4 linked regions of the Arabidopsis thaliana genome follow. The protein of the gene in region 1 interacts with the protein of each later gene in a pairwise test. Each region holds a gene or a part of one and is shown in the gene's direction. Other genes may lie near its edges.

Evidence for each region.
Region 2: the proteins of MAPR3 (region 1) and AT1G16560 interact in a protein complementation assay, tested with the Arabidopsis thaliana proteins (one large-scale study listed by BioGRID).
Region 3: the proteins of MAPR3 (region 1) and RLP30 interact in a protein complementation assay, tested with the Arabidopsis thaliana proteins (one large-scale study listed by BioGRID).
Region 4: the proteins of MAPR3 (region 1) and KEA6 interact in a protein complementation assay, tested with the Arabidopsis thaliana proteins (one large-scale study listed by BioGRID).

Annotation. Positions count from the first base shown.
Region 1 is NC_003074.8:18,127,797-18,132,378, forward strand, and holds MAPR3 (membrane-associated progesterone binding protein 3), read left to right. Parts: upstream 1-1,655; 5' UTR 1,656-1,872; coding exon 1,873-2,180; intron 2,181-3,163; coding exon 3,164-3,557; 3' UTR 3,558-3,796; downstream 3,797-4,582. Other genes in the region: AT3G48880 (RNI-like superfamily protein), read left to right, coding at 77-441, 648-1,212; AT3G48900 (single-stranded DNA endonuclease family protein), read left to right, coding at 4,058-4,125, 4,215-4,372.
Region 2 is NC_003070.9:5,666,478-5,671,522, forward strand, and holds AT1G16560 (Per1-like family protein), read left to right. Parts: upstream 1-1,906; 5' UTR 1,907-1,987; exon of another isoform or gene 1,988-2,441; 5' UTR 2,442-2,467; coding exon 2,468-2,562; intron 2,563-2,682; coding exon 2,683-2,932; coding exon of another isoform or gene 2,933-2,936; intron 2,937-3,015; coding exon 3,016-3,212; intron 3,213-3,301; coding exon 3,302-3,489; intron 3,490-3,567; coding exon 3,568-3,866; 3' UTR 3,867-4,231; downstream 4,232-5,045. Other genes in the region: AT1G16570 (UDP-Glycosyltransferase superfamily protein), read right to left, coding at 4,286-4,312, 4,403-4,700, 4,773-4,825, 4,944-5,045.
Region 3 is NC_003074.8:1,529,844-1,534,956, reverse strand, and holds RLP30 (receptor like protein 30), read left to right. Parts: upstream 1-1,595; 5' UTR 1,596-1,696; coding exon 1,697-4,057; 3' UTR 4,058-4,289; downstream 4,290-5,113. Other genes in the region: AT3G05365 (uncharacterized protein), read left to right, coding at 250-389, 487-581; AT3G05350 (Metallopeptidase M24 family protein), read left to right, coding at 1,114-1,440, 4,701-4,826, 4,929-5,048. UniProt on the Arabidopsis thaliana protein: Receptor for microbe-associated molecular patterns (MAMPs) that induces a BAK1-dependent basal immune response to necrotrophic fungi (e.g.
Region 4 is NC_003076.8:3,802,753-3,810,147, reverse strand, and holds KEA6 (K+ efflux antiporter 6), read left to right. Parts: upstream 1-1,874; 5' UTR 1,875-2,078; coding exon 2,079-2,358; intron 2,359-2,665; coding exon 2,666-2,709; intron 2,710-2,922; coding exon 2,923-2,984; intron 2,985-3,094; coding exon 3,095-3,173; intron 3,174-3,249; coding exon 3,250-3,311; intron 3,312-3,399; coding exon 3,400-3,475; intron 3,476-3,577; coding exon 3,578-3,652; intron 3,653-4,025; coding exon 4,026-4,097; intron 4,098-4,183; coding exon 4,184-4,267; intron 4,268-4,481; coding exon 4,482-4,550; intron 4,551-4,659; coding exon 4,660-4,737; intron 4,738-4,853; coding exon 4,854-4,942; intron 4,943-5,027; coding exon 5,028-5,124; intron 5,125-5,216; coding exon 5,217-5,270; intron 5,271-5,465; coding exon 5,466-5,561; intron 5,562-5,681; coding exon 5,682-5,870; intron 5,871-5,952; coding exon 5,953-6,030; intron 6,031-6,134; coding exon 6,135-6,179; intron 6,180-6,268; coding exon 6,269-6,358; intron 6,359-6,438; and 3 more. Other genes in the region: AT5G11810 (rhomboid family protein), read right to left, coding at 88-567, 665-717, 854-924, 1,271-1,409. UniProt on the Arabidopsis thaliana protein: Electroneutral K(+)/H(+) efflux antiporter involved in K(+) homeostasis and osmotic adjustment. Together with KEA4 and KEA5, promotes growth and development, and facilitates endosomal pH and ions homeostasis, as well as salt tolerance (e.g.

The DNA of each region.
Region 1 (4,582 bases):
CTTTCCTATTTCTATAAGCTCTTGTGGATAACAACAGTTGATTAACGTTCTTATGCTTGTTTAGGGTACAACAAGAATGGAAGAAGAGTATGAGAGTCGTCGATTGAGGAGATGGGAAGAGTTGGACACTGACATCTTAGTAAGAATTTTCCAGAAGTTTAGCGTCTTTGAGTTGACTTCGGGATTAGCTCATGTTTGTAGAGGATGGAGAGCTGCTTGTTGCGATCCGATTCTTTGGAAGACGGTGGATTTGTCAAACATGAGATCTAGTTTCATCAAGATCCCATTAGAGCCTTATGTCTATGTGGAACGCCGATCTGATGAGGCCCTAACCCGCATCCTGAAACTCTCCATGAACCTTAGCGGAGGAAGCACGAGGACCTTGATTTTTCATTTCAACTTGTTCTTGAGTGATGATCAGCTTACTTACACCGCAGAAAGGTATGTCCTTTTCGTTCTTCCACTTATTTGTCTTCCAAATTGTTTCATCATGGCCGTAAACTATGGTTTTTTAGTCAAAAGTTGGTTCAGTTTTTGGTTTGGTTAAGTTCATGTACCCACTTTCAGTCAAAATTGCTGAATTACAATTAAGCTGAATCTCGCAAATGCTAAAAGTTGAAAAATTTGTTGTACTGAATATTTTGCAGGTGTCCAGGGTTGAGACGGGTCGTCCTACCGGCTTGGAACAGAATAAAGAAGACTGGTATATGCAAAGCGATAAGAATCTGGAAAGATCTAGAGTCACTAACAATGCCAAGCATCGCAAACCCGCCTTATCTCTTAACAGAAATTGCCAAGAACTGCAAGAATTTTAAAGAGCTGAAGATCATGGGTCCATTCGAGGTCTTCTTTGCAAACACGCTCATCACTTGCCTCCCAAACATCAAAACACTCAGCATCAGATGCTCGGCGATAAAGCGGGAAGCACTGATGAAAATCCTTGACGGATTACCAAGCCTTGAAGTGCTCAACATATCACACTCTCACCTAGTGGAGTACAGCGGTTGGCAGCCTCAGCAGAAGGTGATTGTTAGAGAGCTCGATAAGACGATAATGGAGAAAACAGCAAGGCTAAAGAAATTCTTGACTTGCATGGATCACAAGACGTGTGTGATGTGTCAGAGGACTGAAAACGATGAAGGGATTGTGAGATGGTACAAGTATGAGGAAGGAGACTGGAAGGTTGATGAAGTGAGTTCTCTTCATCTTTGATGTTTCTGCTGTGATCATTCTCTGTGAAGGACTTAACTTGTTATTGTTCTCATCTTTGACTGTTGAATTGTTTATTTCTTTGTGTTGTTTGTTTTGATTTGAATCGTATTATGTGTATATATCTGTAGGCTATGCCAATGAATGTCTGTAGTGATCAACTTTTGATCACCACCAACCTTGCACACCAAATAGGAAAATAAAACAATATTGTTACAATTATTTGTCTTGATATTAGCATTATTAGTCACATTTGTTTTGCAAATCATCTACCTTTTTTTTTTGGTCTATATCTTATTCTTCTTAGTTCTTACCTACCAGTCTTCTCCGGCGGCATTAACGACACCGTTTTATCGAGCTCAGCCACCACTAGTTAGGTAACGATATATATTCTTAAAAACGTTTAGAAAATTTCTATGTATGTTTCACACGAACAAAAAGAAAATATTTTTCAGACATCAACGGTCATTATGGACGACGACTGTTAAACAAAATCGTTTAAAATTCTTGTTGCGTAATTTGACCATTTTATTTTATTTTATACCAAAAATTGAAGATATTATATATATGTTTTAATTCGATCGCAAATAAATCTGAAAATTAAAACACAAAACGTTACTCTTCTCTCTCATTCTCTTTCGCTTCTCGATAGCTTCTCAAATCATGGTTCAGCAAATATGGGAGACGTTGAAGGAAACAATCACAGCTTACACTGGACTTTCTCCAGCTGCGTTTTTCACCGTACTTGCTCTCGCTTTCGCCGTTTACCAAGTCGTCTCCGGTTTCTTCGTTTCTCCTGAAGTTCACCGACCTCGTTCTTTGGAGGTTCAGCCTCAATCGGAGCCTCTTCCACCGCCGGTTCAGCTCGGAGAAATCACTGAGGAGGAGCTTAAGCTTTATGATGGCTCCGATTCTAAAAAGCCCCTTCTTATGGCGATCAAGGGCCAGATCTATGATGTTTCTCAGAGCAGGTATTTCTTGTGAAATCTTTACTTGTTCATTAAATTATGATTGAATCCAAATGATCACTAGTTAAATTACCAGTAATAAACGATTCAACCCAATAGTTTCGAGATTTGGGGTTTAGGTTAGTTAATCATGGTTGACTGTTTGATTTATAATCCGAAGTTTCCAATTACTATCTATCTTATGATTCTAGTATATCTACTGATGCTCGAACTCTAGTTTAAGTGATTCTTTATTGTAAAACTGAACACTTTTAGTAAATCTTTTTGATGAATATTCTCTCCTTTTTGTTCATAATCTTATGATGCTCTTTTTATTGCTTTTTGCATCTTAGTGTTTGTTTTTTCACTTCTTTTCTTGGAACAATACCATTAGAAGCACTGATACAATTGTATTGTATTCAAGTTATCGGAAAGATCTCTACTTTTTCTTATACTAGAAAAACCTGTATTTAGATTACATCTTGGATTAGTAGAGATTGATAACGTACAAACTCGTCAAAGGTTTGGCTTCTAATATTGCTATTGTGGCGAAAGAGATCGTTCACTGATTAATTATCCACATTTGCTTGCTATTTGTGTTCCATGACGTTTGTAAATTAAGTTTTGGCGAACATTGTTGGTATGTAACCATGCTGCAGTTGTCTAGATCCCTGACTTGTCAACTAGACAGTTCTTTTACATTCCAGTTACCGAAAACTTCGTTGTGGTAATTAGGTTTTGTGCTAGATGAAATAATCACTTCAGTGATCATACCGTTTTGCTTGTTCATAGTGGCGACAGACACAGACACACTCATCAACGCATATACATGTCGATGTATATGTATGCATAACTTTTAGTTTTTTTCTTGTACATAGTTCATCAGCTGTACTACATATCTAGATGAATCATATTCATATGTGCCAAGCTGTAGTTTTTCATTCTTCAAACTCTACTTAACTCTTACTGGTCGCTAATTTGCATGACCATCTGTTCTTTTTATGCAGGATGTTTTATGGACCAGGTGGGCCATATGCTCTGTTTGCAGGGAAAGATGCAAGCCGAGCTCTGGCAAAGATGTCATTTGAGGACCAAGACTTGACTGGAGACATCTCAGGTCTCGGTGCATTTGAGCTAGAGGCGTTACAAGACTGGGAGTACAAGTTCATGAGCAAGTATGTCAAAGTCGGAACCATTCAAAAGAAGGATGGAGAAGGCAAAGAAAGTTCAGAACCTTCCGAAGCAAAGACTGCCTCTGCGGAAGGTCTTTCTACAAACACTGGAGAAGAAGCTTCAGCAATTACCCATGATGAAACTTCTAGAAGCACAGGCGAGAAAATCGCGGAAACCACGGAGAAGAAAGATGTTGCAACTGATGATGATGATGCTGCAAAGGAGTAAAGTCAATGTAATGAGAGGCACAGTTTCTCTTGAGAAATTAGTGAGATTTTTCAGGGTTTAAGTATGAGTCGTATATAGCTCAATAAAAATGGTGACCTTGTGTGTACTTTTTGGATCTTGTATAATGACATCTAATTCTGGTTATGGAAGCTTCAAAATACATTATTTCTACAGTATTAATCGATAAACAGTTCTATAATTCAGGGTTTGTTCACTTGTTGTTTATGCTTAGTTCATATTTGACATCCTGCTATGTGCCTGGTAATTGAAGATGGTTCAATTCCTAAAATCGAAGCACCAACTTACATTTGATGGTAGGTCTGTTGCCGAACCGAAGTGAAGAATTTGCAATAATTTTGGTTTCGGTTTGGAACCTTCAAACCGACCGGTTTCGAATTATTATTGAACCAAATTTTCAAAATTCAAATATCTTGTCAAATCATTTTCTTCCCTCTTTCTGTCTCTGTCTCTCTCTCTCGCTCGATCTCGAAGGTGAAGCTATGGGAGTGAAGTATCTTTGGGATGTCTTGGAGCCTTGTAAGAAGACTTTCCCACTCGATCATCTTCAGTGAGTTGTTTCTTCGTCTCAATTTCTCTTTAATTTTTCTGGGTGTTTAAAAAGACCAAGTCTTTACGAGATCTTCGTAATCGCTGTAGAAACAAAAGGGTATGCGTGGATCTTTCGTGTTGGATGGTGGAATTGCATAAAGTGAACAAATCTTATTGCGCCACTAAAGAAAAAGTTTATCTTCGAGGATTTTTTCATCGTCTCCGAGCCCTAATTGCCCTAAACTGCTCCATCATTTTAGTCTCAGGTAATTTAATTCTACCCTACTGTTGAAAATTGCCATCAGAAGAGCCAATTAGGGTTTATGTAGTGTTGTATTGTTGTCATTGTGAATTGATTTGAGTAATAGAAGCATGAGTGGTCAAATCAGTTCTTATTTATTGATGCTTTGCTCTAAAGTTTAGTTTTTTCAATGCTATTGAGCATACTTGACTTGTTGGAATGTGGCATGTAATTG
Region 2 (5,045 bases), on another chromosome or scaffold:
TTCTCTAAAGCGTATAGGACTGCACCTTCCATTGTGTTTATCGATGAGATTGATGCGATTGGATCAAAGAGGGAAAATCAGCAAAGGGAGATGGAAAAGCGGATTGTAACGCAATTATTGACTTGTATGGATGGACCTGGTAACAATGGTCCTGAGTCTAGTGTTGGATTTGTTCTCGTTATTGGAGCTACAAATGGCCTGATGTTCTTGATCCTGCTTTGAGGAGAAGTGGACGATTTGAATGTGAGATTGCTCTAGGTGTTCCAGATGAAGATGCAAGAGCTGAGATACTTTCTGTTGTAGCCCAAAAACTTAGACTAGAAGGGCCCTTTGACAAGAAAAGAATAGCTCGTTTAACGCCGGGTTTTGTTGGAGCAGATTTGGAGGGTGTTGCTAACATGGCTGGCAGGATTGCCACAAAGAGAATCTTGGATTCAAGAAAATCTCAACTGGCTGGGGACTCTGAAGATGATAGTTCTTGGCTGAGGCATCCCTGGCCAGAAGAAGAGTTGGAAAAACTCTTTGTTAAGATGTCTGATTTCGAGGTATGTTAATTGTAGGCATGGCATGAGTCTACTTTTCTGTACTTCAATAGCTACGAGATTTTAATCCTTGGTTCCTAACTCTGTTGGTTGCTCTGTAATCTACTAGGAAGCAGTGAATCTAGTTCAGGCATCTTTAACAAGGGAAGGATTCTCTATCGTGCCTGATGTCAAGTGGGATGATGTTGGTGGACTTGAGCATCTACGACTTGAATTCAACCGCTATATAGTCAGACCTATCAAAAAGCCTGATATTTACAAGGTAACTAATAAGTCACTTAGAACTGTTATATAGTCAAGATTACTTGCTTTTTCTCTCGAGGTCTGAATGTGCCACTTTGGTTCTTTTTAGGCTTTTGGGGTAGACTTAGAGGTTGGATTTTTACTCTATGGACCACCGGGTTGTGGCAAGACATTGATTGCAAAGGCAGTTGCTAACGAGGCAGGAGCTAATTTCATGCACATCAAGGGTGCAGAGCTTCTAAACAAGTACGTTGGAGAGAGCGAGCTTGCTATTCGGACATTGTTTCAGCGTGCCCGGACATGTTCGCCATGTGTGATCTTCTTTGATGAGGTGGATGCTTTGACAACAAGCCGTGGCAAAGAAGGTGCCTGGGTTGTTGAACGGCTTTTAAACCAGTTCCTTGTTGAGCTAGACGGTGGAGAGAGGCGTAATGTATACGTAATTGGAGCTACAAACAGGCCAGATGTAATTGATCCTGCGTTCTTGAGACCTGGTAGGTTTGGGAATCTTCTATATGTACCCCTCCCTAACGCCGATGAACGTGCTTCAATTCTAAAAGCTATTGCAAGGAAGAAGCCCATAGATCCTAGTGTTGATCTTGATAGCATTGCAAAGATGAATTGTGAAGGTTTCAGCGGAGCTGATCTCGCTCACTTGGTGCAAAAAGCTACATTCCAGGCAGTGGAGGAGATCACCACAATTTCATGTGAAGATGATGACGATATTACAGATACAAGTCAGTGTACGATTAAGATGACTCATTTCGAGCAAGCATTGTCCTTAGTCTCACCTTCTGTGAACAAACAGCAAAGAAGACACTATGAGGAACTATCAAAAAAGCTCCAAGAAAGCATTGGAAGGAAACCATAGGGTCATTCTTTTTGCCTTGCACTAAAACCTCTCTTACTTATATTATGTCTGCAAATTCCCATTCTTCTGAGTACTTGTAACAATTATATTATTGAGATAAGATAAATACGAAAGAAGGTTTTGTTACTCTTTTTTGGGGGACATTTTGTAAAGCAGATAATGGTAGAAACTAGAAAGAAAAAGAATAATGCAAAAACTACGTCGTTTAGTTTAAATTATAAGACACGTGGTCTTCTCTTTCGTCGTCTCCATTATTTACAGGAGTGCGATAATATTCTTTGAAGCTTTAACATTGTTGCGAAGACCAGACTCTCAGACTCAGACTCGGGAGGTATTGGATTCTATCTGATCTGCTCGATTTTTTCTCTATTTTCTTGCTCTCTACATTATAGCTGATCGATTTCTCATCTTGTTGTTGTTGTCCCTGCTTGATTGGTAGATCTCGAGGGGGTTTAAGCTCTGCATTTGATTTAAGTTCTGAGTTTTCGATAATCTGATCGAATCTGGAAATCATAGTATTAGATTCTACAGAAATCAAGTTCGATCCTTAACCAAGAGATTCTGTAGTCTTTCAAGGTCGAATTATAGAAGGATTTTTATTGATATGTGAGAATTTCTTTCACTGGAATAAACACTTGCTTTAGGATTCTTAACGGAAGCATCATATGAAGATCTTCACATTTGTAGTTTTTTTTTATAGTCTCTGATTCATAGTTTCCATTTGCAGCTCCTTTAAGCGATTTCTTTCTTTGTTTTTTGAGGCTTGCATTGTTATTATCACGCAGTGATTTCACTTCAACTTTCTGCTCAGATGGCAGTCCACTACTGGACAGCCCTGTTTCTATTGTTGCCATGCCTTTTCTGTATTTCAAATGCTAGTGCTGGCGATGCTGATCCAGATTACAGGTAATCTTAGAATTTCGGTAATCTTTGAGTATCTATCGTGAACTTGGTTTTGTTGTAGCTTATATGTAAGCAACATTTTTGATTCGTGGAGATTATGAATGTCTGGCAATTTTGTGTCAGGACATGTGTTTCAGAATGTGAGATAAGCGGTTGTGTTGGACAACTTTGCTTTCCTCAGTGCAATTCTTCATCCGATGGTGGTCCATGGTACATCCAAGAACCTTTGTATTTACAATGGAAAAAATGGGGTTGTCAAGGTGATTGCCGTTATCAATGTATGGTTAATAGAGAGACTGAACGGGAAACTCTCGGTCAAGCCCCAGTCAAGTACCATGGTAAATGGCCCTTCAAGCGTGTACTTGGGATTCAGGTTAGTTTTTTTCTTCAATCGCTTTTTTTTATTCTGGTTGTTTCCATATAATATGAGTTTTGACTTACCTTGTTCTTTGCCAGGAGCCTGCTTCTGTTGCTTTCTCTGTACTCAACCTAGCAATGCATTTCCATGGTTGGCTTTCCTTTTTCATCATGATCTACTATAAGTTGCCTCTGAAACAAGATAGGACAGCGTACTATGAATACGTTGGTTTGTGGCATATCTACGGTCTCCTGTCCATGAACTCTTGGTTCTGGAGTGCTGTTTTCCACAGCCGGTAAATCATCTACACATTACTCTATTATCCACAATCTGCATCATATATTCATATGTGATTTTCTGGTAATCCGTCTCTGTGGTTCTCAGGGATGTTGACCTTACAGAGAGGTTGGACTACTCATCCGCAGTAGCGATTCTCGGATTCTCACTCATCTTAGCCATTTTACGAACATTTGATATTCGGGTTGAGGCTGCAAGGGTCATGGTATCCGCTCCAATACTAGCTTTTGTAACCACCCACATACTCTACATAAACTTCTACAAACTCGACTATGGTACCCTCAATAACTTTCCGTTGTCTAAAAATCGAGTCAATATTTTTGGTGAATTCATCAGTTGAATGTCGTTTACAGGCTGGAACATGATTGTGTGTGTGGCAATGGGAGTCTCACAGCTTTTCCTATGGGCAAGATGGGCCGCTGTCTCAAGCCACCCTTCTAATTGGAAACTTTGGGTGGTTGTGATAGCTGGAGGATTAGCCATGCTTCTAGAGATATATGATTTTCCTCCATATGAAGGCTACTTCGATGCTCACTCGATCTGGCACGCTGCCACAATTCCCTTAACCATTCTCTGGTGGAGCTTCATTAGAGACGATGCTGAGTTCAGAACTTCCAGCCTCCTCAAGAAAACTAAGACGAAGGCAAAGTGAGTCTCTTTGCTAAGTTTTACAAGGATTTTTATCCGACCATACGAGTATGCAGACACGAGGGAAAAACAAAAGATGGAAATGGATTTAAACATCACGAAGAAGGCAGAGTCTTTTGTTTAAAGCTAGCTGGTTTATGGATTCACAGGTTTCTTCAGTTTTTTTTATTTTATATTGTTACATTAACTGTTGAATTTGCTTTGAGCCTTTCAGTGTTTTTCTTTGGCCTTACTTTTGGTTAAGAAAGATTTTGATATCATTTACTCATTCATACACAGACTCATGCGAAACCATTTTGAATTCAGATTCTGTCAATATTTTCGAGACAATCTTGTAATCTATAGGATTTTGTATAAAAATTTGGATCTACAAAAGCAGTTGTGTGAGAAACTCTCAAGCCCATCGATTTTGAGTCTTCTCTTTCATGAATCTGCAATTTGAGACACGACCTGCATAGACCAGACATAAAGACATCTTATGAGAAATAGCCCAATAAAAAAGTATGTGTGCGGGATACAGAGAGGGCCGACGGATTTTGCCTGAGTGATTAAAGGTTTTGCACAATCTTCCCACTCTGTAGCCCATCGACCCGAAGAACCAGTCTCCATTGCACCCGCTTTAAGCGACATTAGTGCATCACAGTTCCCTGGAAAACCCTTGAAGAGAATCTGTTCACAAAGACAAAACACAAGAACATTACTGCTGTCTTCTGCTGTAGACTTGGTGAAATAGTCTTTTAAAAAGAAAGACGAGTTACTTACCAATAATTGATCTGCTAATTCTGATGAAGATGAAAACAAAAGTCCGTTCTTCCCATCTTTAACGAGTTCTTGAATGCTTCACGAAAGTTGAAGGTTTTAAAGTTATAGTATTTGTTCGTGAAAGTAATGTAAGTGATTGATTATTTACCATGAGTAGGAAACCGAGCAAACTGGGAGGCCACATCCAAACATATCAACAACCTAAAACGCCAAACATCGGTAGCAAGTTGACACAATGGAAATCAAGTCTTAAATCTTCTTAACCTTATTAAAAACAATGTGCTTCTTAACATATGAGCTATAAAAACAATGTGCTTACCTTCATGGGAAGGTCTAAACCCGACGAGGAAGTGTGTAAGCAGACACCGAGATCTGCAGAACCTAAAAGCAATGGGTAATCTTCAGCTGCGAGCCACATTGT
Region 3 (5,113 bases), about 17 Mb from region 1:
GATTTTGAAACTTTACTTCTAATAAACACCATTGTAATGTCTTGTTGTGAAGTTGTGTAAGGAACAAAGGATAGTGAAAGCTGAAGAGTGGGATTCGTTTATGGAGTTTCAGAGTTTTTTTTGACTAAGTGGCCTCTGTTTTTGATTCTTCAGTGGTCAATTTTGTGATGGGATTTGATTGAAATTGGAGAATGATTTCATGAAATCTCTTCGGGCTGAGGTTGATTCATGACTCTTTCATTTTTCTAGTGTCTCATTGATGATAGACATAAGAAGCATACTTAAGGCCATAGAGAGTGGTGAATTGGAGGCAATCAAGCCTTTGCCTTGGTACCCTAAGAATCTTTCTTTTCACGGAAGGAGATTAGAAAAAACCAGATACTTGAGAGGTACATTTTCATGCCAGTTGCTTCAGAACAAGTATTCACTTCCATTCCCTTACTTGTGTTAGTTCAGCGCTTGAGAAATATTATGATCTTGTTTCAGACTTTCAGCTGTCAAGAGACAAGGCCCGTTTTACTATCAGGTTAAAATCATGGTCAGCTTCTTGTCCCAAACCACATTGTTGCAAGGTTTTGTAATAAATCTTGGCTCGATAATGCATTCAGAAACTTCTTCTACTCATATCTCAAAATATGTTTTGAATTCTAAACCCCATGGTTATCAATATAAAGAATATTAGTATCTATTTTTCTCTTTTCTGGTGTGGTTGCAATTTATCGTTTGTCTCTTTCGTGGAAACCCTTAATTCAGGCGGTATTAAGTCTTTCTCATAAAACTTTCTAAGTCAAACCAAAATTCCAATCGAAATTCTCAGCATGAAAGTCTCGAACACGTTTACATTTCTTACGCACCCAAAGACTCTTGCTTCTTGCACACGTCTCTCTTGGCTGTCCTTTACCATAACGAATTTGATGAGATTGTTTCAAAATAAAATGTTTCTTTTTGACAAGTCTGGGATTTTAATGTAATTATCAATAGTCATGCACATTATACAACATTTAAAAGAATACGGGGGTTGTTTTGCAATTTTCAGTAGTTATACACATTTATCCGTAATCACTCTGCTCAAGAAGCTTCTCCTCTTGTGTGATTCTCCTGCAATCGCTGGTGATGATTCCTCTAACTCTTTCGTCGCCGTCTCTGAATCGGCTCGTTTTATCCACATCACGTTACTCACACTCTCTATTTCTCAGCAATTTCAATTCGCTCTCTCTGATCCACCGGAAATTACCGTATAAACCTCTTTTTGGCGCAAGGTGTCATGCTAGTAGCAGCAGCAGCAGCTCTTCCTCCTTCACGGCAAAGTCTTCCAAAGAGATTCGTAAAGCTCAAACCAAAGTAGTTGTCGACGAGAAGCTTAGCTCGATCCGGCGACTGTTTTCGGAGCCGGGTGTTGGAATCGACGCTTATATCATACCTTCACAAGATGCACATCAGGTTCTCTTTTTTTAAACCTCTTCTTAACTCGTGATTACGAATTGAATAGGAAGTTCTAGTAGATTCAAAACTGTTCAATTGTGTGTGTTTTTAAGTCAATTATTGGTCCAAGTGGGCAAGTTTGACTATAGAAAGGAGTAGGTAGAAGTCTACTAGAGAGCTGCAAATTTGTGTTTTGTTTTCTATTTTTCTCTCTCTCTAAATAGAGACGTAGAAGCCATAGCTATCATAACCTGTTACTTACAAAACAAACAAAATGATTCCAAGCCAATCTAATTCCTTTTCTGGTAGTGTTATTACCTTGTATTTCTTCCTCCTGGGTTCCCTTGTTCTACGCACTCTTGCTTCTTCTAGGCTTCACTATTGCCGCCATGACCAAAGGGATGCTCTTCTCGAGTTCAAACACGAGTTTCCGGTAAGTGAATCGAAGCCAAGTCCATCGTTGAGTTCATGGAACAAGACTAGTGATTGCTGTTTTTGGGAGGGTGTCACGTGCGATGATGAATCTGGCGAGGTGGTTTCACTTGACCTTAGTTATGTCCTTCTCAACAACTCTTTGAAACCAACTAGTGGTCTTTTCAAACTCCAACAACTCCAGAACCTGACTCTCAGTGATTGCCATCTCTATGGAGAGGTTACTTCTTCACTAGGAAACCTTTCTCGTCTCACGCATCTTGACCTTTCGAGTAATCAGCTGACAGGTGAAGTTCTGGCTTCGGTCAGTAAGCTAAACCAACTTAGAGACCTTTTACTTTCCGAAAACAGTTTTAGTGGTAACATTCCTACTTCATTTACCAATTTAACGAAGCTTTCTAGTTTAGACATCTCTAGCAATCAGTTCACATTGGAAAATTTCTCTTTCATACTACCAAATTTAACCAGCTTGTCCTCCTTAAACGTTGCCTCTAATCACTTTAAATCCACGCTTCCATCTGATATGAGTGGACTCCACAACTTGAAATATTTTGATGTGCGTGAGAATTCATTTGTCGGGACTTTTCCTACATCCTTATTCACGATTCCTTCGTTACAAATTGTTTATTTGGAAGGAAACCAGTTCATGGGACCTATAAAGTTTGGGAATATATCTTCATCTTCTAGGCTTTGGGATCTAAACCTTGCTGATAACAAATTCGATGGGCCAATCCCTGAATATATATCTGAAATTCACAGTCTCATAGTACTAGATCTTAGCCACAACAACTTAGTTGGGCCAATCCCCACTTCTATATCAAAGTTGGTCAACCTTCAGCATCTTAGTCTTTCAAACAATACCTTGGAAGGCGAAGTGCCAGGTTGCTTATGGGGATTGATGACAGTGACACTTTCCCACAATTCTTTCAACAGTTTTGGAAAGTCATCATCCGGAGCTTTGGATGGAGAATCAATGCAGGAGTTGGATCTTGGTTCGAATTCACTTGGAGGACCTTTTCCCCATTGGATCTGCAAGCAAAGGTTCTTAAAGTACTTAGACTTGTCCAACAATCTCTTCAACGGCTCAATTCCTCCTTGTTTGAAAAATTCCACTTATTGGCTTAAAGGGCTAGTTCTGCGTAACAACAGCTTCAGCGGATTTCTCCCAGACGTATTTGTCAATGCTAGCATGTTATTATCACTTGACGTTAGCTACAACCGGTTGGAGGGAAAACTTCCAAAATCCCTGATCAATTGCACTGGTATGGAACTTCTGAATGTGGGAAGCAACATAATCAAGGACACTTTTCCATCCTGGTTGGTTTCTTTGCCATCATTACGTGTCCTCATCCTCAGATCTAATGCATTCTATGGGTCGTTATATTATGACCACATATCTTTTGGGTTTCAACATTTGAGACTCATTGATATATCACAGAATGGCTTCAGTGGAACTTTGTCACCTTTATATTTCTCCAATTGGCGTGAGATGGTGACATCTGTCTTAGAAGAAAACGGCTCTAATATAGGTACAGAGGATTGGTACATGGGCGAGAAAGGGCCCGAGTTCAGCCATAGTAATTCGATGACTATGATATATAAAGGAGTAGAAACGGACTTCTTGCGGATCCCATATTTCTTCAGAGCCATTGACTTTTCTGGAAACAGATTTTTTGGGAATATACCTGAATCCGTTGGTTTGTTGAAGGAATTGCGTCTTCTCAATTTGTCAGGTAACTCATTCACAAGCAATATCCCTCAGTCATTGGCAAATTTGACAAATCTTGAGACATTGGACCTATCCCGGAATCAGCTATCAGGTCACATCCCTCGAGATCTTGGTAGCCTCTCTTTTCTGTCGACCATGAATTTCTCCCATAACCTTCTCGAAGGTCCAGTTCCACTAGGCACTCAGTTTCAAAGCCAACATTGTTCTACATTCATGGACAACCTCAGACTCTACGGTCTTGAGAAAATCTGTGGAAAAGCTCATGCCCCGAGTTCTACACCACTAGAATCCGAGGAATTTTCGGAACCAGAAGAACAAGTGATTAACTGGATAGCAGCGGCAATAGCCTACGGACCTGGTGTGTTTTGTGGATTAGTTATTGGACATATCTTCTTTACTGCACACAAACACGAGTGGTTCATGGAAAAATTCCATCGAAACAAGCGCAGAGTAGTCACCACAAGTGCTCGTTGAACACCATCACCTCTCACAATTTCTCTGAGTGATTGTGAAACGTATATGTTTGTTATGATATCTGTCAGTTGTGTTATGCATAAACTCTTTGTCTTTGTAATTTTCTACTTTATGGTATTGTAAGAAACGGCTTTGGTGGTATCTGATCTTCTATATGTTGGGTTGAAAATGCATTCAGATTTTTCTTCCTAGTCAAATCTCAACTTGTCATAAGAGGATGTTTCAATTGTAGAGCCAAATGGAAGTTCTTCTTCTTCTAAATCACAGTATGAAATTCTCCAACTCGTGTTTTATTTCATTCTCCCCAAAGTTTCTTGCTCCGCTCACACGTCAATCTTGCTGTCCCTGAGTATACCAAATTCGATTTGGAGATTCAAGATAAAAAATAAATATGATTTGGACCAGTGCGGGGGTTGTTATGCATCTATGCAATTGTTTTTGCCATTTTGATATGGGTAATGTGTTGTTTCGGTGAATTTTACATACTAGGAGCTTAAGATCTACTTTCATAACTGATGTTGCCTGTAATATATTTCTGTGCCATTAGGAAAGTCACAAATTTATGTTTTACTTCTAAATGTATCCATAAACTGCCTGAGTTTTTCATGGCTTGAGTGTGATTTTTCTCCATATTTTGTACTAGAGCGAGTTCATCGCAGAGTGCTATGCCAGGAGGGCTTATATATCAGGATTTACTGGAAGTGCTGGTACCGCTGTTGTCACCAAGGATAAGGCAGCTCTATGGACAGATGGCCGCTATTTTCTTCAGGTTTTGATCATTATCGTCCTTTAAAATTATTTGATTGCCATCTCATATTGAAAGGAAATGTGGAGTTTCTTATCTACATTCTCTGCAATTATTCTATCAAAGGCGGAGAAGCAATTAAACTCTAGTTGGATTCTCATGCGGGCTGGTAATCCGGGAGTCCCCACGGCGAGTGAATGGATAGCTGATGTTTTGGCGCCTGGTGGAAGAGTTGGTATTGACCCTGTAAGCTATTATTAAACCTTCTAAATTGTGTCTCCTTTTGTCCTTAAATATTGTAGTTTGTGGTT
Region 4 (7,395 bases), on another chromosome or scaffold:
CCAAACCCGTCAAGAACGAAATGATGATTTCAGAAAAGTTCAAATCAAATTCTTTTGGTTTTGACAAAAATTCATCGAATCTCTTACCGAACATCATCCCGTGTCTTTTCACCTCGCATGGTGTAGCTCTGACGCGGGACAAGTCCTATAAATGCCGGGTTAATGTCTTCTTGTGGAGTCTTGATTGGAAAAACTGAAACATCTTTGTCTGTGACAGAACCATAGCTAAGAACGACAGACAGATGCAACCGCGATAGAATCTCTGAACCTGGTTGAGCCATTCCCATAATACTGCCAATCAAAGAGTCGAGAATTCCCATGTTGTTCCCGTTATTATATTCATCAACCCCGAAATGAACAAAAACCAAGTCATATAGGTTCACATCCAAGCACTTTCCTCCTTCAAATCCAAGCAGCTTTAGTAGTTTAGATGATGTGGCATCAGAAGGAAAGGAATCACTCTCTTGGCATATTTCACTAAGCTGTAATACATCTAAGCCAATCAGTTTTCCGAAAGAAGTCAGAGTAGAACTGTCCGTAACTAAAGCAGCTTTGAGTCCCATAAACCTGGCATTAAAGTAAATACTAGCATCAACATATGGATATACCAGCTATTGATTATCAAAGAGAGTATAAAACTATAGAGATAAGTGAAAAGTATAACCTTTCAGCCAAAGTTGAGATATCATTTCCATTTCCCTTTGGTTTTAGTCCACTCTATTAAGAAATCAGATCATGGTTCGTTAATCTCTAATTCGTGAATAACTATGTAAACACACTGAGATTGTTAAATATTTTGCCACAAAACTCGGCTCACATAGAAATTAATATAGTAGAGAGTAAAGTATCTCACAGCTATGGAATAAGCTTCGGATGCATCCAGCAAGTGGGAGAATTCTCGAACTATTCTTTCATTCTCAGTTTCTGCAATATTGAAACAGCAGAGTGAGTTAGATCAATAGCAAAATGTCAAAGCAAGGGCAATGTAACACAAGTGATCTCAAATCTTTGTTTCTTAAGCAATTGGGTCAATTGACACTGAACAAGAACTCTAAGTTGGCCAGTTAGATCAATTGTATACTGGAGTTTCATATTGGACTATTAAAAAAGTCACAATCGAATCCAAACGATATGGTTCAATTCTGATCAACACTAAGAAATCCTAACAAGTGAAAACCCTTAAAGTAGCGATTTTGACTGAAATTCAAGACGAATCAAACGAAAGTAACCAAATTTATGAAGAGATAGCGAGGGAGAGAGAAAGAGAGACCTGGAGGTGCATTAGGAAGGCTCAAGAAGCCACAAGTAGCGACGGAAGCAAGAGAATGGATGTTGGTATTTGACGGATCGACAAATCGAGCCAAGCCGTCTCCGTACAATATCAGTGATCTGCTTGATTTGTCCGCCATTGTTGTCAAAAGACGAATTGTCCGAGAAGAAAAAAACAGAAGCGAATATATATATTTTTTTGTCGTGAGGGGAATATATATATATATATATATAATATAATTTTTCTTTTTTTTTGTTTTTAATTTTTTAATTGACAGCGATTTTTTGGATAATTTTTGGGGACCATGAACTAAAAAAACACGTTTACAAATTTCACAGAATTATAAATACAGTGAAATCTATTTTTATTGGATTTAAATGATTACATGAAAAAGAGTCGCATTGAGTAATAATAAGTATGGCGTAGACATTGAGCTAAAGTTTTATAGAAATGGAAGATGTTTTGTCCTAATCGAAAATCAAATAACCAAGAAAGACCCATTCCATTCATTAATCTACCACATGGACATGGTGCAGTTGCTGTATATTACAAAGAAACAACACAACATTAAAAAGAAAAAAATCCGATAATTAATTTTAATACAGATATGTCGTAAATTGTACAGTATAGTCTTGTTATATGTAGAGAGCCTATGTATGGACTGTTTGTTGACCATTGCAACAATCTCACTTTCCCTCTCTCCCCACTTGCCCACTCCTCGTCCTCGATCGAGAGACTCGCGACGGTTCCGGTTCTTCTGCTAGACCGTTGCTCCAGTCCGGTTTAATCCAGAACCAGTTGTTCTGCCATGGTGGAAGGAAGAAGAAGAAGAAGATTCTCGCTCTCCTCTCAACAGCTAGCTCTCCTCTTACTTTTACTCTCCTTCTTCCTCTGCTTCTCCGTCGCGTCTCCTCGAGCTATATCTGATTCGGATCTACTGGATGAAACAGTCGCCAACTCCTCCTCTTCCGTCGCATCTCTCAACGCTTCTTCTTCTTCTTCTCTTGTTAAGCCTAAGGAAGGTAGCTTCGCCGACATCATCGATCGTGCTCTTGAAAAAGAGTTCAATGAAAGCGACCAGAATGAAGGTTAGTGTTTTTTGCTACTTTATGGAGCTTGAAATGGCCATTGAACAACTAGAATTCATTAGGTAGATCCTGAATTGGATCCGTGATCCAATTGAAAGTTCGGAACTTTAGATTGATCCCACATTCGTCTTTCCTTTTTGGGGATCTCCCAATGTGGAATAGTTTGCTTCTTCTAGATCGAGAATATTTACACAAACAAGATACATTTTTGTGATTGGTTTTCCTGAAATGGATAGTGAGTGTTTATCTTGTATTCTTACACTTTTACTCGATATATTATCTCCCAATGTTGTTATATTTGTGGCAGTGGCTGATCCTGGAAGCTTCAATAACAGTGTAGCTGGACAACAGGTTTGTTTTAACTTTTAATCATTAGTATATACTTGCTTCTGTTTATTATTCAAAGTTGGACAATTTCTAGGAAATTCAAGCAGTGTCAAAATCACTCCCAAGTCTTTTGTTTGAAAGTATAAGGCTTGCTTTAAGATTTGATCATTTCTCTCATTAATTGCATAGTTTGAGTATCTGAATGTGAGGTTGGTTGTTGTACCTTGTGGTGATCAGGCTGTTCTGGAAACTGTAGCCCGAGTAAAGTCGACCAAGAAAAATGAGACAAAAGAGGAGAAGTACACCATTCTATTATAGTTATCGTTTATATTTCTAAATCTTCCTTTGTATGACCTTCTTTGATGTTCTGGAATTGAAGACGTATTAAGCGTTATCTAATTTTCCATAGGCGTTTTCAACTCCATGATGTTTTCAACTTGAACAATGATAACAGAGCTGAGGACACTCCAACTCTCATTGATCGAAAAGTAAGTTTTTACACAGGAAGACTGAGTTTGGATTTGTTGCATTACTTCTTACATGGAAGTTTTGGCCTTGTGTCAGGACAATGTCTTCATCATATCCAATTCCAAATCAAAGTATCCAGTATTGCAGCTAGACTTGAGGCAAGATTCTTGGTCTTAAACATGATTCTTGAAAAAAAGACTATAATTTTCAATCAGTCATCTGATTTCTGCTTCTTATGGCATGTAGACTGATATCAGACCTGGTGGTTGTCATTGTATCTGCAACTTGTGGTGGTATCGCCTTTGCTTGTGCTGGACAGCCGGTCTGATTTTCGTGCTACTCTTATTCTCTATCAATATGACTTTATGTTTCAGTATGATGCATTTGTTTTCTGATAGCTATGACTCATTCTGTGCTTATGTAGGTGATAACTGGATATTTGCTAGCAGGATCTATCATTGGGCCTGGAGGATTGAACTTCATCAGTGAGATGGTCCAGGTATGCTATGTGTTTGACCTCAAAAGATTTAAGTCTTTCGTCCACTCCCAATACCTTTAGTTGAGAAATTCCTTTAAGGTCTCGAATACTTATTTAGATCAGCAGGTTAGGAACTATTTTCTTCTGAGGATCGTTGACTAAGATATTACACATAGCAAGACATGAGTCTTTGACTAGAAACTCTTTTCTTCTGTGGGTCAAAACAAATTGAGTTTTTATCATGCATAAGAGAGACCTTAGTTCGTCTTCGAATAGGAAATCTAGAGCTTAGACTGCCACGGAGATGAGAATGTATAATGCTCATGTGGTTTTACATATATGTCATCTTACACGTTGCTTTTGCGCTTTAATTTTGACATGATTCTACATTTAGGTTGAAACAGTTGCCCAGTTTGGTGTGGTATTTCTGCTCTTTGCTTTGGGTCTAGAGTTCTCCACTGCTAAGGTGAGATCAACCGCTTTGATTTGTATAGTGTTGAATTAAATTGTTAACATAACAAACTCTTGAGCTCCTTTCCTCTTACTATGTAGCTTAAAGTTGTTCGATCAGTTGCTGTTCTGGGAGGCCTTCTTCAAATTCTTCTATTCATGTTCTTGTGCGGTATCACAGTGTCGGTGCGTCACTTTTTTTTATCAGTGGTTCTGGAAAAAAAGTTATGCTTTCTGTTTGAATCGTAGAAAAATGAGTCCTGCTGTCTCTTTTATTCTTTGAGAGACATTTGGTTTATGTAGCTTAAAGTGTTGTGTATTTGAAAGTTAGAAATACAGACCCTAAAATCTTCTGCAGATATACTCTCTGTGACATGTTTTCAACTGGTCCTGTTTGCAGTTATGCGGTGGTAAACGTTCGGAGGGGGTATTTGTAGGAGCCTTTTTGTCAATGTCATCAACTGCGGTGGTAATTTCAGTGAACTCTATAATGCTTATCTAACCATTTCCATTAGCGGGCTTTCTTTTTAATATTGTTGGTTTTATGTTCATCATGCGTTCCTGCCTTGAATCTATAGGTGCTGAAGTTTCTCATGGAAAAGAATTCAACTAATTCTCTTCATGGCCAAGTTACGATTGGAATCCTAATTCTTCAGGTATCTGATTGTTCTCATCTACATGTAATGTCCATTGTCTTTGTAGATCATATAGTGTTTATTCTTGAATTCCTTTTCAAATGATTTGGAGGATTGATTTTAGCATCTGTTTGTAGGACTGTGCTGTGGGTTTGCTGTTTGCTTTGCTTCCAGTTCTCGAGGGAAATTCTGGCATTGTTCATGGAATGTTGTCAATAGGAAAAGTGTATGGAAAGACTGGTAGACTTTTTGCTCCTAAGGCGTATTCTGAAGATTTGATGTTAATCATGCTTTTACTGTCTTTTATTTAGGGTGGTTTTGTTGCTTTCGTTTTTGGCTGTTTTGTCAATATTATCACGGACATGTATTCCTTGGTTGCTGAAGCTAATGGTCAGCTTATCGTCACAGGTACATGAGTTTCCTCTCAATATTATTTTCCCTATCATCTGATCTAATGAAATCGAGTTTGTAGATTAACCTAAAAAATTTCTTCATATCAGACAAATGAACTCTATCAGTTAGCGGCTGTTGCGTTTTGTCTACTTGTAGCCTGGGTGAGTCCTACTTAGCCATCATCTTCCTCATATTCTTCCTTGTAGTATCCATCATATGTAATGCGTTCATGAAGATTCTCATATGTGCGTTCCTTCTCTTATTTGGTCCTGGTGTGTATTTGGGAACTCTAGTGATAAGGTGGGATTAAGTTTTTTGGTCAACATGTTTGTTTGACTAGTCTTTTATGCTTTCAGTGTAGTGATAAGCTGGGATTAAGTCTTGAATTGGGTTCTTTTGCTGCGGGGGTCATGATATCCACTACTGATCTCGCTGAACATACATTGGAGCAAGTACGTTTTGACCACATTTTATCAAAAAGGCTTTACTGTTTCTCCCGTTATGTTAATTGATCTTAAACCCTTAAAAGAGTCCATAGTCTGACAGAGATGCTTTCATATTTTTTTGTGCAGATCGAACCCATCCGTAATTTATTTGCTGCTCTTTTCCTAGCCAGCATTGGGATGTTAGTTAATGTCCATTTTCTGTGGACACATGTGGATATACTGTTAGCCTCTGTGATATTAGTTATTATTATAAAGACAACAATAGTTACAACCGTTGTTAAGGGATTTGGATACAACAATAAGACGGCTCTTCTGGTAACATATTCTGACTCAAATTACTTATATGATCTATCATGTTTGCTTTCTTGCTTCACCATCCTTAGTCAAATTGATGCAGGTTGGAATATCTCTGGCTCAGATAGGGGAGTTTGCCTTTGTACTACTTAGCCGTGCCTCCAATCTTCACCTCATCGAAGTAAGTAACACAACTTGGTCCTCAATGGACCATACACATAAGTAGGATTTAAGAATATATAAGGTATTTTGAAGAAAGAAGCTTAAAGTTATGAAAATTGTCAGGGGAAACTCTATCTGCTTCTCCTTGGGACAACCGCTCTAAGCCTGGTATGATCAGATAACTTTCTGTTACCTCCTCTTTATATGTTCTGTGTTCAAGTTCAAGTAAGTAGCTGAGGTGGTTTTGGTTTGGGCAGGTTACGACACCGCTGGTTTTCAAAATGATACCAGCAGTTGTACATCTTGGGATATTGTTGAAATGGTTTTCTCCAGACAGTACTATAGAGGTAAGTTGGTTTGATTTTTGGTTGATTCTTTCTTCGTTTATAGAACATAACTAAATAAAGAAATCTTTTGTTTTGGTCAGAAAGGAGAAATTGTAAGATCAGAAAGTGGGAAACAACGGATGATTCTAATGTCACGTCAATCCCACAGCTCCTAAAACCACAAAATGTTCTTCTCAACTAAAGTTTGGTACACTCAATCAATTTTGACAAAAGAAAAATGTGGAAAAGAAGAGAAAAAGATTTTAACACTAACATTGTTTGTTTCCTGGGAGTAACTAACCCACAAGTCCACAACCCATTTGTTTCCCTTGTAATTAGCATTGTTTCTTTTTACTATTTTTTTCATGTAATGTATCACAAAACAAGTTTGATTTTTTCTCCTGTAATCATATACTCGGCCTATACAACTTTGTGCAACCAAAAATATGTGGAATCAGATCTTCTCTGTTTAATTTTTGAAGGCACATGTTTTAGCAGTTTGCATCCGAATTTCCAATTTTCAGCAACTTTTTTTCTCACAACAGTTGCAGTTGAAGAGGCCATAACATATATTTGATTGAATGAGAGATGAAATAAAATAGTAAGGGGATGATTTTTATTCAACTGAATGTACAGAACAAGAAGAGCTACCACAAAATAAACCTTTAAGACAAGTTTAATGAATCAAAATATAATATATCTGTAAAGGGAGAAAACCTAAAAAACCATCATTTACTTTTAATTTTCCCGTTTAATACCTCTACTATTTAATTTGGAAGAAAAACACCTTAGTTAATTTTGGTTACTTATTAAAACTTTCGTTTTTTAAAAAGTTGGTATAATCTTACCTTCGAGTTAACTTCCGTTAACTACCCTAACGGAATTGTTAACTGTGGTTAAAACTTAACTCATGTTAATTATGTAAATAAGTACAATCGCTTTTCTTGATTATACGAATATGTTTCCGTTAGGGTAGTTGACGGAAGTTAACTCGGAGGTACGATTATACCAACTTTTTGATAGGTAACCAAAATTAATTAAGGTATTTTTCTTCCAAA